Linked DNA regions of Stegostoma tigrinum. Each later gene encodes a partner of the first gene's protein in a complex. Links are inferred from orthologs where the notes say so. Each region holds a gene or a part of one and is shown on either strand. Other genes may lie near its edges. The genes, in order: sec31a and pdcd6.

Region 1 (3,919 bases):
TATGTGTGTTGGTCTTTTTTTTGTGAAGGTATTTAATAATTCATTAAGCCAGCCTTTCAGAACCATGACTTTAAATCAGAATGTGTCAGAAATAGCAGAAGCTGCAAAAATCTTTTCTAACTTTGTTCAAAAGCTTTTGGGTTCAGCTCAAAGGAGACACGACTAAGATCAGAAACAAGTACTGTCTCGTCACAAAAAGGAGATTATTTCAGATAGTTGACTAACACCTGAAGAAGGACTGAGGCTCCGAAAGCTTGAGTTTTCAAAAAAACCTGTTGGAGTTTAACCTGGCGTCGTGTGATTTCTGACCTTGTCCACCCTAGTCCACACTGTGGAGGATTCTGTGAGGATTCAAGTAAGAAATCTTCATGGCTCACAGAAGCAAAACTGAGAAGCAATTGTCAAAGATTGGACTGAGAAGGAAGATGTGTTTGGATTTTGTGTACTAAAAAGTGATGGTGGTGGGGAGTAAATAGGATTCTGTTTCACTGTGTCTTTCAAAATTTTTCAAAAACGGTTTCTGCTCTTTCTGACACACTGGTTTTAAAGTCATAGCTCTGAAAGACTGGCCTAATTAATTATTAAACACCTACACATGCAAAAGGCTAAGACCCATTTTCCAGTAGTTTAAAATGCAAGCTCTAAAACAATAATTCTATGTTATATGTAGTTAACTTGATTTGTTTTTCATTGTGGTTCACTGATGAGAATTAAATGTGCTGAATTGAGACGATTTTATATTTATGTCATTGCCCGGTTTTTTTAAAAAAAGAATGTTCCTTAGATGTGGGCGTTGCCAGAGTTTATTGGCCATCAGGACTGGGATGAGAATTGCCTGCTCCTGTGAAAGCAAAATGTTTTGGGTCTGTGGTATTTAACCAGATTATGAATGAGCAACGTGAGAACACCTACTACAACTTAAGTCGGGAAACAATGCAAGGAACTATTTCTGGTTATTTATTCATTTCAGAACCAAGGGGCAAAATGCCAACGCGAGACAGCAGAACACCTTTCATTAAAAAACAAAATATTCTGGACGCTGGAAATCTGAAAATAAAAACAAAAGGTGCTGGAGAAAAATCAGCAGGTCTTGCTGCACGTGTGGAGGAGAAAATAGTTAAGGTTTCGGGTCAGTTATGACTGTTTAAAAACAAAGTGGTTGAAAATAGCATATTCTGTGTTGAGGACAGAGGGGGAGTGCACTGAGTGGAACAGATTGCACGTCAGTCTACAACATAAAAACACCCCAGATGTTCCAACTCCTTTCAGTTCTTAAAAGTCACAATAGACTCGACCCATTAACTGTGTTTTTCTCATCACAGGTGCTTCGAGACCACTGATTTCTCCAGCACTTTCTGCTTTCAAATACATAAGGCGACTTCAAAACAGAAAATGTTAGAAATGCTCAGCACATCAGGCAGTAACTGTAAAGCGAGAGAGAGAGACAGTCAACAACGCAGGTTGATGATATCTCAGGTTGCTGAGGACATCTTTTGGACACTCATGCAATTGTTCAAATGTAGCCGTTCACCTTTTGGAGTGTACAGAACGTACTCGGTGTGATTGCTCGATGACTGTGATATGGTTAAGTATAGCCCAGTGCCTCTGTTACCGTGGGTTGCACTCGTGTGTGCCCAGGGGACATGCGGGTGCTTCGCGCTGCTGCGTCTCTTCATTCTCCCTCAGGTCCTGTCTCACCCACAAGATCTGCTCTCCCTCTCACCGCCTGATACTGGGCGGACTTTGTACTCCGAGGAAGCGGAAGTGGAGCTGGGTCGGTCCAATCTGCTCCGGCTGCCACGTTGGTGGAGACGTGGACTTGAAGCACCGGGAGCTACAGGCAGAGCCGGAGGTAAGCCGGGAGCTCGGGGCGGGCGTGAGAGCCTGAAACCCTCGGGGGGTGGGTTTGCTCCTCCCGCGGACCCCGGCTTCCTGTGAAATCTCTCCCGGCTGAGGAAGCGTAGGGATCGGCAGGGCCGCTGGCGGGGGGGGGAAGGTTGATGTTACTTTTAAATGGGGTTTGATTTGACTCGAGTCTGGGTGGCCGGCCCAGAAATTTCATTCGTTTCTCTCAAAAACAAATTGTAGACAGTTCCAACTTTCTGCTTTCCCCGATCCTCGCAGTCTGTCTGCTTCAGTGTTTCTTTCTGTTTACATTGAAACACTGTTTGTGTAAACATTGTATCCCCTCACTGTCACTGTCAGGGCGGCCCAGTTCCCCCTCTTTCCAATCCTGGGGTTTCCTGGTCAATACTGTTCCACACCATTTCCTACCTTTTTCGATCACCGATGGATCGTGGCCGGCTTCTCCCTTCCTTTTTCCAAGTAACACTATTTCTGACCAGCCGTGAAAATGCAGTGGGGCGCGGGGAGACGTTCAAAACTTGCACCTTTTGCATCTCAAATCCTGGAGTCAGGCCACAGCCAACCTCGCCTCTCAGTCAAAAGACTGGACTCCAGCTCCACTCCAGAGACTGGTGCTGCACTGTCAGAGGTGCTGTCTCTCAAATCAGATGAAAGGCCCAGGTCCTGTCTGTGCTCTCGGGTGGACCCAAAAGATCATGGCTTTATTTTGAAGAAGAGCATGGGATTTATTCCCCTGGTGCCTCCGCCAATGTTTATCCTTCAGTCAGCATATTAAAAAAAATGTTACCTGCGTTATCATTAGCTTGCTGTATACAAATTGTTGCTGTTTCTCCTCCATCACAACAGCAACCATGCTTCAAAGAAGTGCTGTCCCGCTTGTAAAGTATATGGGAAAGGAGCTCTTAAAAAAGTGTTTCTCTTGCCCACGGTAAATAAGTGCGATGATTTGACAGGTCGGCAGTAGAACATGATAGAGGGCATTTTGCATGTTTCATTTCAATGAAAGTTACTTACAGCAACATTTTAATTGCTTGAAATCTCCTCATTTGCCTCAACGACATAGGAAGAAAAGTGTGCATATTTACACTGGACCTACTACAGTACATTTGAAGTGTTCTGATCCATTTGTCAGCTCTGGTTCACTGATTGCTGGAGAGCAAGGGGATAAGTGGTGGAAAGAGCTTGGACTTCCATCCAAGACTTTCCAACTTGGTACCTCTGATTGAGTCTTGGGCTAACCATTTATTACTAAGACAGATAATGCTGTTTTTAGTTCTAATCTTTCAAAGATCATTCTTAGACTTCTGTATCTATGGGAGTTCTATCAGCTTGGATCTGATTGTTTGTTTATTGATGAATTAGAAATCACAGATCACTGGCAGCTTTGAGGTTATACCTGCTGGTGCTTAGACCTGTTGATGGCACTTTTATTTTGAGTCAGAGATTGTTTATTTGAGACCCACTCCAGTAATTGAGCACATGGATTAACATTTCTAAGTACACCATCGGCTTGTCTTTTTAAAGCAGTCAATTTACTTATCAGAAGTATGTTTGAGAGGACCGCTGTTATTTTTCAAAGAAAGTATAACACAATTGTACTTCTTTCCTAAGTGATAATTGGTCCTACCGTAATTGAACAATTTTAATCTTTACTTGTATTCATTAATATGGGGAACGCAGGACATGAGGAATCACACTAAGATATTTAATCTGTCCAGCTTCTTTCAGCATTCAGTGTGATCGAGGGCTGATCTGTGCCTTAGCTCCATATACCCACCTTTGTCCCATCCTCTTAACATTCTTGGTTATCAGAAATCTCGAAACCTCACATTCAAAATTTACACTTATCTAGCATCATTTGCCATTTGCGGGAGAACATTCCAATCGCCTACAATATTATTTACGTATGTTTGTGTGTGTGCATGCACGTGCAACTGTTTCCAAATTTCAATTCCAAAATGAACACGGGAACAGGAATAGGCTGCTCAGCCTGCTCCATCATTCAATGAGATCAAGATTGATCTGCAGTCTAACTCCATATCTAACTCCTTTG
Region 2 (3,919 bases), on another chromosome or scaffold:
TTTTACAAACCTTTACAAGGTCATTCCTCAGCTTCTAAAGCTGCAGAAAACAATGCCCCAGTCTATTCAGCCCCTCTCTATAACCCAAACCATCCAGTCCTGGCAGCCCTTGTAAAACCATTCTGCGCCCTCTCAAGTTGAGCAACATCCTGCATATAGGAGGGTGACCAGAATTTAATGCAGTATTTTAAAACTGGCCTCGCCAATTTCACGTACAGTTGCGACATGACATTCAAATTCCTAGACTCAATGTTGTGCCCAGTGAATGCAAGGGTGCCATGCCACTTTCGCAAACCTGTTAACCTGCCAACTCCACTTTCAAGGAACTGCACCTCTAGGTCTCTTCGTTCAGCAGCGCTCCCCAGGGACCCCCTGTTTGTCTACCATTTCCTTAGATAGCATCTGTTCTGAGGAAGGGGCACCGGACCCGAAATGTTAACTCTGATTTCTCTTCACAGATGCTGCCAGGTCTGCTGAGCTTTTCCAGCAAATTCTGTTTCGGATTTACAGCTTCCGCAGTTCTTTCGGTCTGTATGCCAGCAAGGGGATTCGGGTTCAAGACGCAACAGCTCCAGAGTTGCGCCATTGAACTTTCCACGCCCAATCCGGTTTACCTGAGTGACAAACCTGGCGGCGTCTGTGAAGACATGATAATCCACATCGGTGTATTTGACCGGCATGGAGCGGTCCTGGTGCAGCCCATAGAAGACAAGGCCGACGCGGAGGCAGAAAGCGACTGCAAACAGGGCAGCGCGCCCAGGGTTCAAAGCTCGGCCCATTGATCGGGGGGGGGGGGGCGGGGAAATTTACATCGGCCAATGTAAAATTACAAGGAACTTTAACGGGGACGTCACCCCAGCAACGGTGGCGAAACAGCAAGCGGTTGATCTGAGGAGGTCGAACCGTCGGTCCCTGTCCTCTCGGAGGTTTTCAAATCCCATTCTGGATGTTTATGCATGCAGGTCTGAAAGATCACCGCAACCGCCACGGAGCGCGAAGCAGTTGAGACGGAACCATCGCGGGACGGCTCACTATCACGTGGCTGGACGCGGAGGGGCGCGGCGGGGTCAGGTGATGCGGGCGGAAGCGAGATAGTTCGAGCGGGGGAAGCTATTGAGACCAAGCTCGTGGCAACAACGGTCTCCGATGGCGTATCACTACCGGCCGCAGCAACCGGCCAACAACGGCCTTCCCGACCAAGGCTTCCTGTGGAATGTCTTCCAGAGGTACATGGCATCTTGATTACGGGAGGCGCGGAACGTGTGGGAGGGAGGCAGGCGGGCGGACGGACGGACGGACGGACGAGAGAGAGAGCGAGCTTGATTGATTTAGATGGTCCGGAGCGTTGAAGTATCATGGGAGAGACTCTTATTCCTCTCCACAACAACCACCACCCACCCCATGCTGCTACTCCTCTCCAATATGCCCTCTGTCCTACTCCACCCCATTATCTCCACACTCCCCTAACTGGCTTCACCATCCTCAAGTCTTGTTTCTCTCTCTCTCTCTCTCTCTCTCTCTCTCTCTCTCTCTCTCTCTCTCCTTCCTCTCCCATCTTTGGGGGAAAACACTGAGCCCGCTCCCCCACCGGGGAGGGCCTGAGCCCACTCACATGGTACCCTGGAAGCAAGGGGTGAAGTGACAGGGCCAGCGGGCTCCTTGACTGATTGCCAGAGTGTTCCTCGCGCACTGACTGTCTGAATAACGAGGGAAATTCGTATTGCTACAAGACTTCTTAATTAAAGTCACTGAAGGTAATGAGCTTGTTTTCACGTAGTTTGTGTGCAAAATTGTTGCCTTTCCCACATTACTTCATTAACTATGATGGTACTTCATCCTTTACTGGTAATGTTTCCTTCCTCTGGGGTGAGGCTTAGTGGAATTCTCTCTGGGATGACTGTTCAAACAACTCCTTTTGTCAGCGTCACTTGTACTGTCCCCATTACGCCCTCGGAATGGGCATTTATGCTGCACCTTTCAGACCCTCAGTACTGATATTTGCATAGTACCCTTCAGAGTCTTACCACTTGCTTTAATGTAACAACTTTTGAGTGTTCAGATTGCTTTACAGGGAGCAAATTATTTTTGAATGGCTGTCATTGTTATTTGGAGAACACATCCACCAATTTGTTGACAAATATCCAGACCACAATAAGCCAAGTGACTGGTTAAAGTTTTGAATGGTAAAGTCTGGTCCCTACACCTGGTGTATTGTTCTACTTCTGTTCCTACCTCACTGGATCTTTTATGTTCTCCAGGGGAATTAAAAGAAACAACAACTTTGTCTCATCCAGGCATTTCTACCACTAGTAACATTATATTCCCTCAAAGCTCAGCTGTAAATGCTGTATAAGCTGGAGAATCAAAGGCTTTACTCTGCTACTAACCATAGGTGCATTCAGAAGTTGGATAATGCATAACAGACTAGTATCTGAACAAATTTCTAATTGCTGGCTACAGTTCATGTTGCAGGCTTACATAGAAACATAGAATATTGTTGCATCAGTAGGTCAATCAGCCCTTTGGTTGCTGTTCAATATGATCATGACTGATCATCAACTTCGTACATTTTCCAGTTTTTTTCCCTGTATCCTTTGATCCCTTTAGCCCTAAAAACTAAATCTACACCTTTCTTGAAAGCCGTCAGTGTTTTGGCCTCATCAGTTTGCGATGGCAGAAATATCTCTTGCAAACCAACCATCTGTGATTCGTGCACAAGGGCACACAAGTCCCTCTGCACAGCAGAATGTGGCAACTTTTTACTGTTCAAATAATAGTCTCTTTTACTGTTACTCCTACTAAAATGGATGACTTCTCATTTATCAACATTGGCTTTCATCTGCCGGACCTTCGCCCACTCACTTAAACTATCTGTGTCCCTCCAAAAATTTTCAGAGTCCTCTGCACACCTTCCTGTACCATTCATGTTAGTGTCATCGCAAGCAGTGACACACATTACATGTGGTCCCCAAGTCCAAGTTATCAACAGTTGCGGTCCTCGGAGTGATCCCTGGGGCACACCGCTAGTTACTGTTTGCCAACCAGCAAAACACTTGTTTATCCCCATTCTTTGCTTCCTGTTAGTTTACCAATCCTCAATCCATGCTAATACATTACCTGTAATGCCATGCGTCTTTATCTTATGCAGCAGCCTTTGGTGTGTCAAACCTCTCGAATGCCTTTTGGAAATCCAGATACACAACATTTACTGGACCCCTGTTGTCCACTGAGCTCAATGTCTTCTTAGAATTCCAGCAAATTAGTCAAGCATGACCAGTCTTTAATGAAGGTATGTGGCATCTGCCCATTAGGGGAATTTCTATCTAGTTGTCTCACTGTTTCTTCCTTGATAGATTTAAGTATTTTCCCACTACAGAAGTTAAGCCAACTGGCCTATAATTCCCCATCTTTTGTCCACCCTCTTTTTCAAACAGTGGCGTCACATTGGAAAATAGCCAATCTGCTGGAACTGCCCCAGAGTCCAGCAAATTTTGGCAAATTACCCCAAGTGCATTTGCTATTACTCTTGCCATCGCTTTTAGTACCCTGGATGCATTCCATCAGAGCCAGGAGACTTGTCTATCTTTGGCCATTTGCTTACCCAATACTACCTGTTACATGATAATGATTGTGTCTAGGTCCTTACCTACTTTAGTCTCGTTGTAATCAATTTAGAATCTTATAGTTTTCTAGCATCCTAACGAAGTAGCTTTTGAGGCAAAAATAAAGTTGCCATCTTCCTATTAGAGAGACAACTGGTGAGTTTAACCCATGGATCACCACAACGCAGACAAGGGCCAAGGTTGAGAAGGCTGGACATTTATGGTAACTGCAGCCAGTACACGGATCAAACCCATACTTTTGATGACACTCTGCATCGCAATCCAGCTACCCATCCAACTGAGCTAACCAACCCCAG

The links.
Region 2: the proteins of sec31a (region 1) and pdcd6 are in contact, whole or in part, in a crystal structure (PDB 3WXA), measured with the Homo sapiens proteins. The link is inferred for Stegostoma tigrinum from reciprocal best matches to the Homo sapiens genes SEC31A and PDCD6. Residues at the interface, in NP_001070675.1 of Homo sapiens: Asn837, Pro838, Pro839, Pro840, Pro841, Gly842, Phe843, Ile844, Met845; in NP_037364.1 of Homo sapiens: Val31, Val35, Leu48, Ala51, Leu52, Ser53, Asn54, Gly55, Thr56, Trp57, Phe85, Trp89, Ile92, Gln96, Phe99, Phe148.

Annotation. Positions count from the first base shown.
Region 1 is NC_081354.1:77,615,928-77,619,846, forward strand, and holds the start of sec31a (protein transport protein Sec31A), read left to right. Parts: upstream 1-1,545; 5' UTR 1,546-1,581; coding exon 1,582-1,852; intron 1,853-3,919. UniProt on the Homo sapiens protein: Component of the coat protein complex II (COPII) which promotes the formation of transport vesicles from the endoplasmic reticulum (ER).
Region 2 is NC_081355.1:20,853,302-20,857,220, reverse strand, and holds the start of pdcd6 (programmed cell death protein 6), read left to right. Parts: upstream 1-941; 5' UTR 942-1,146; coding exon 1,147-1,226; intron 1,227-3,919. Other genes in the region: pigm (GPI mannosyltransferase 1), read right to left, coding at 615-779. UniProt on the Homo sapiens protein: Calcium sensor that plays a key role in processes such as endoplasmic reticulum (ER)-Golgi vesicular transport, endosomal biogenesis or membrane repair.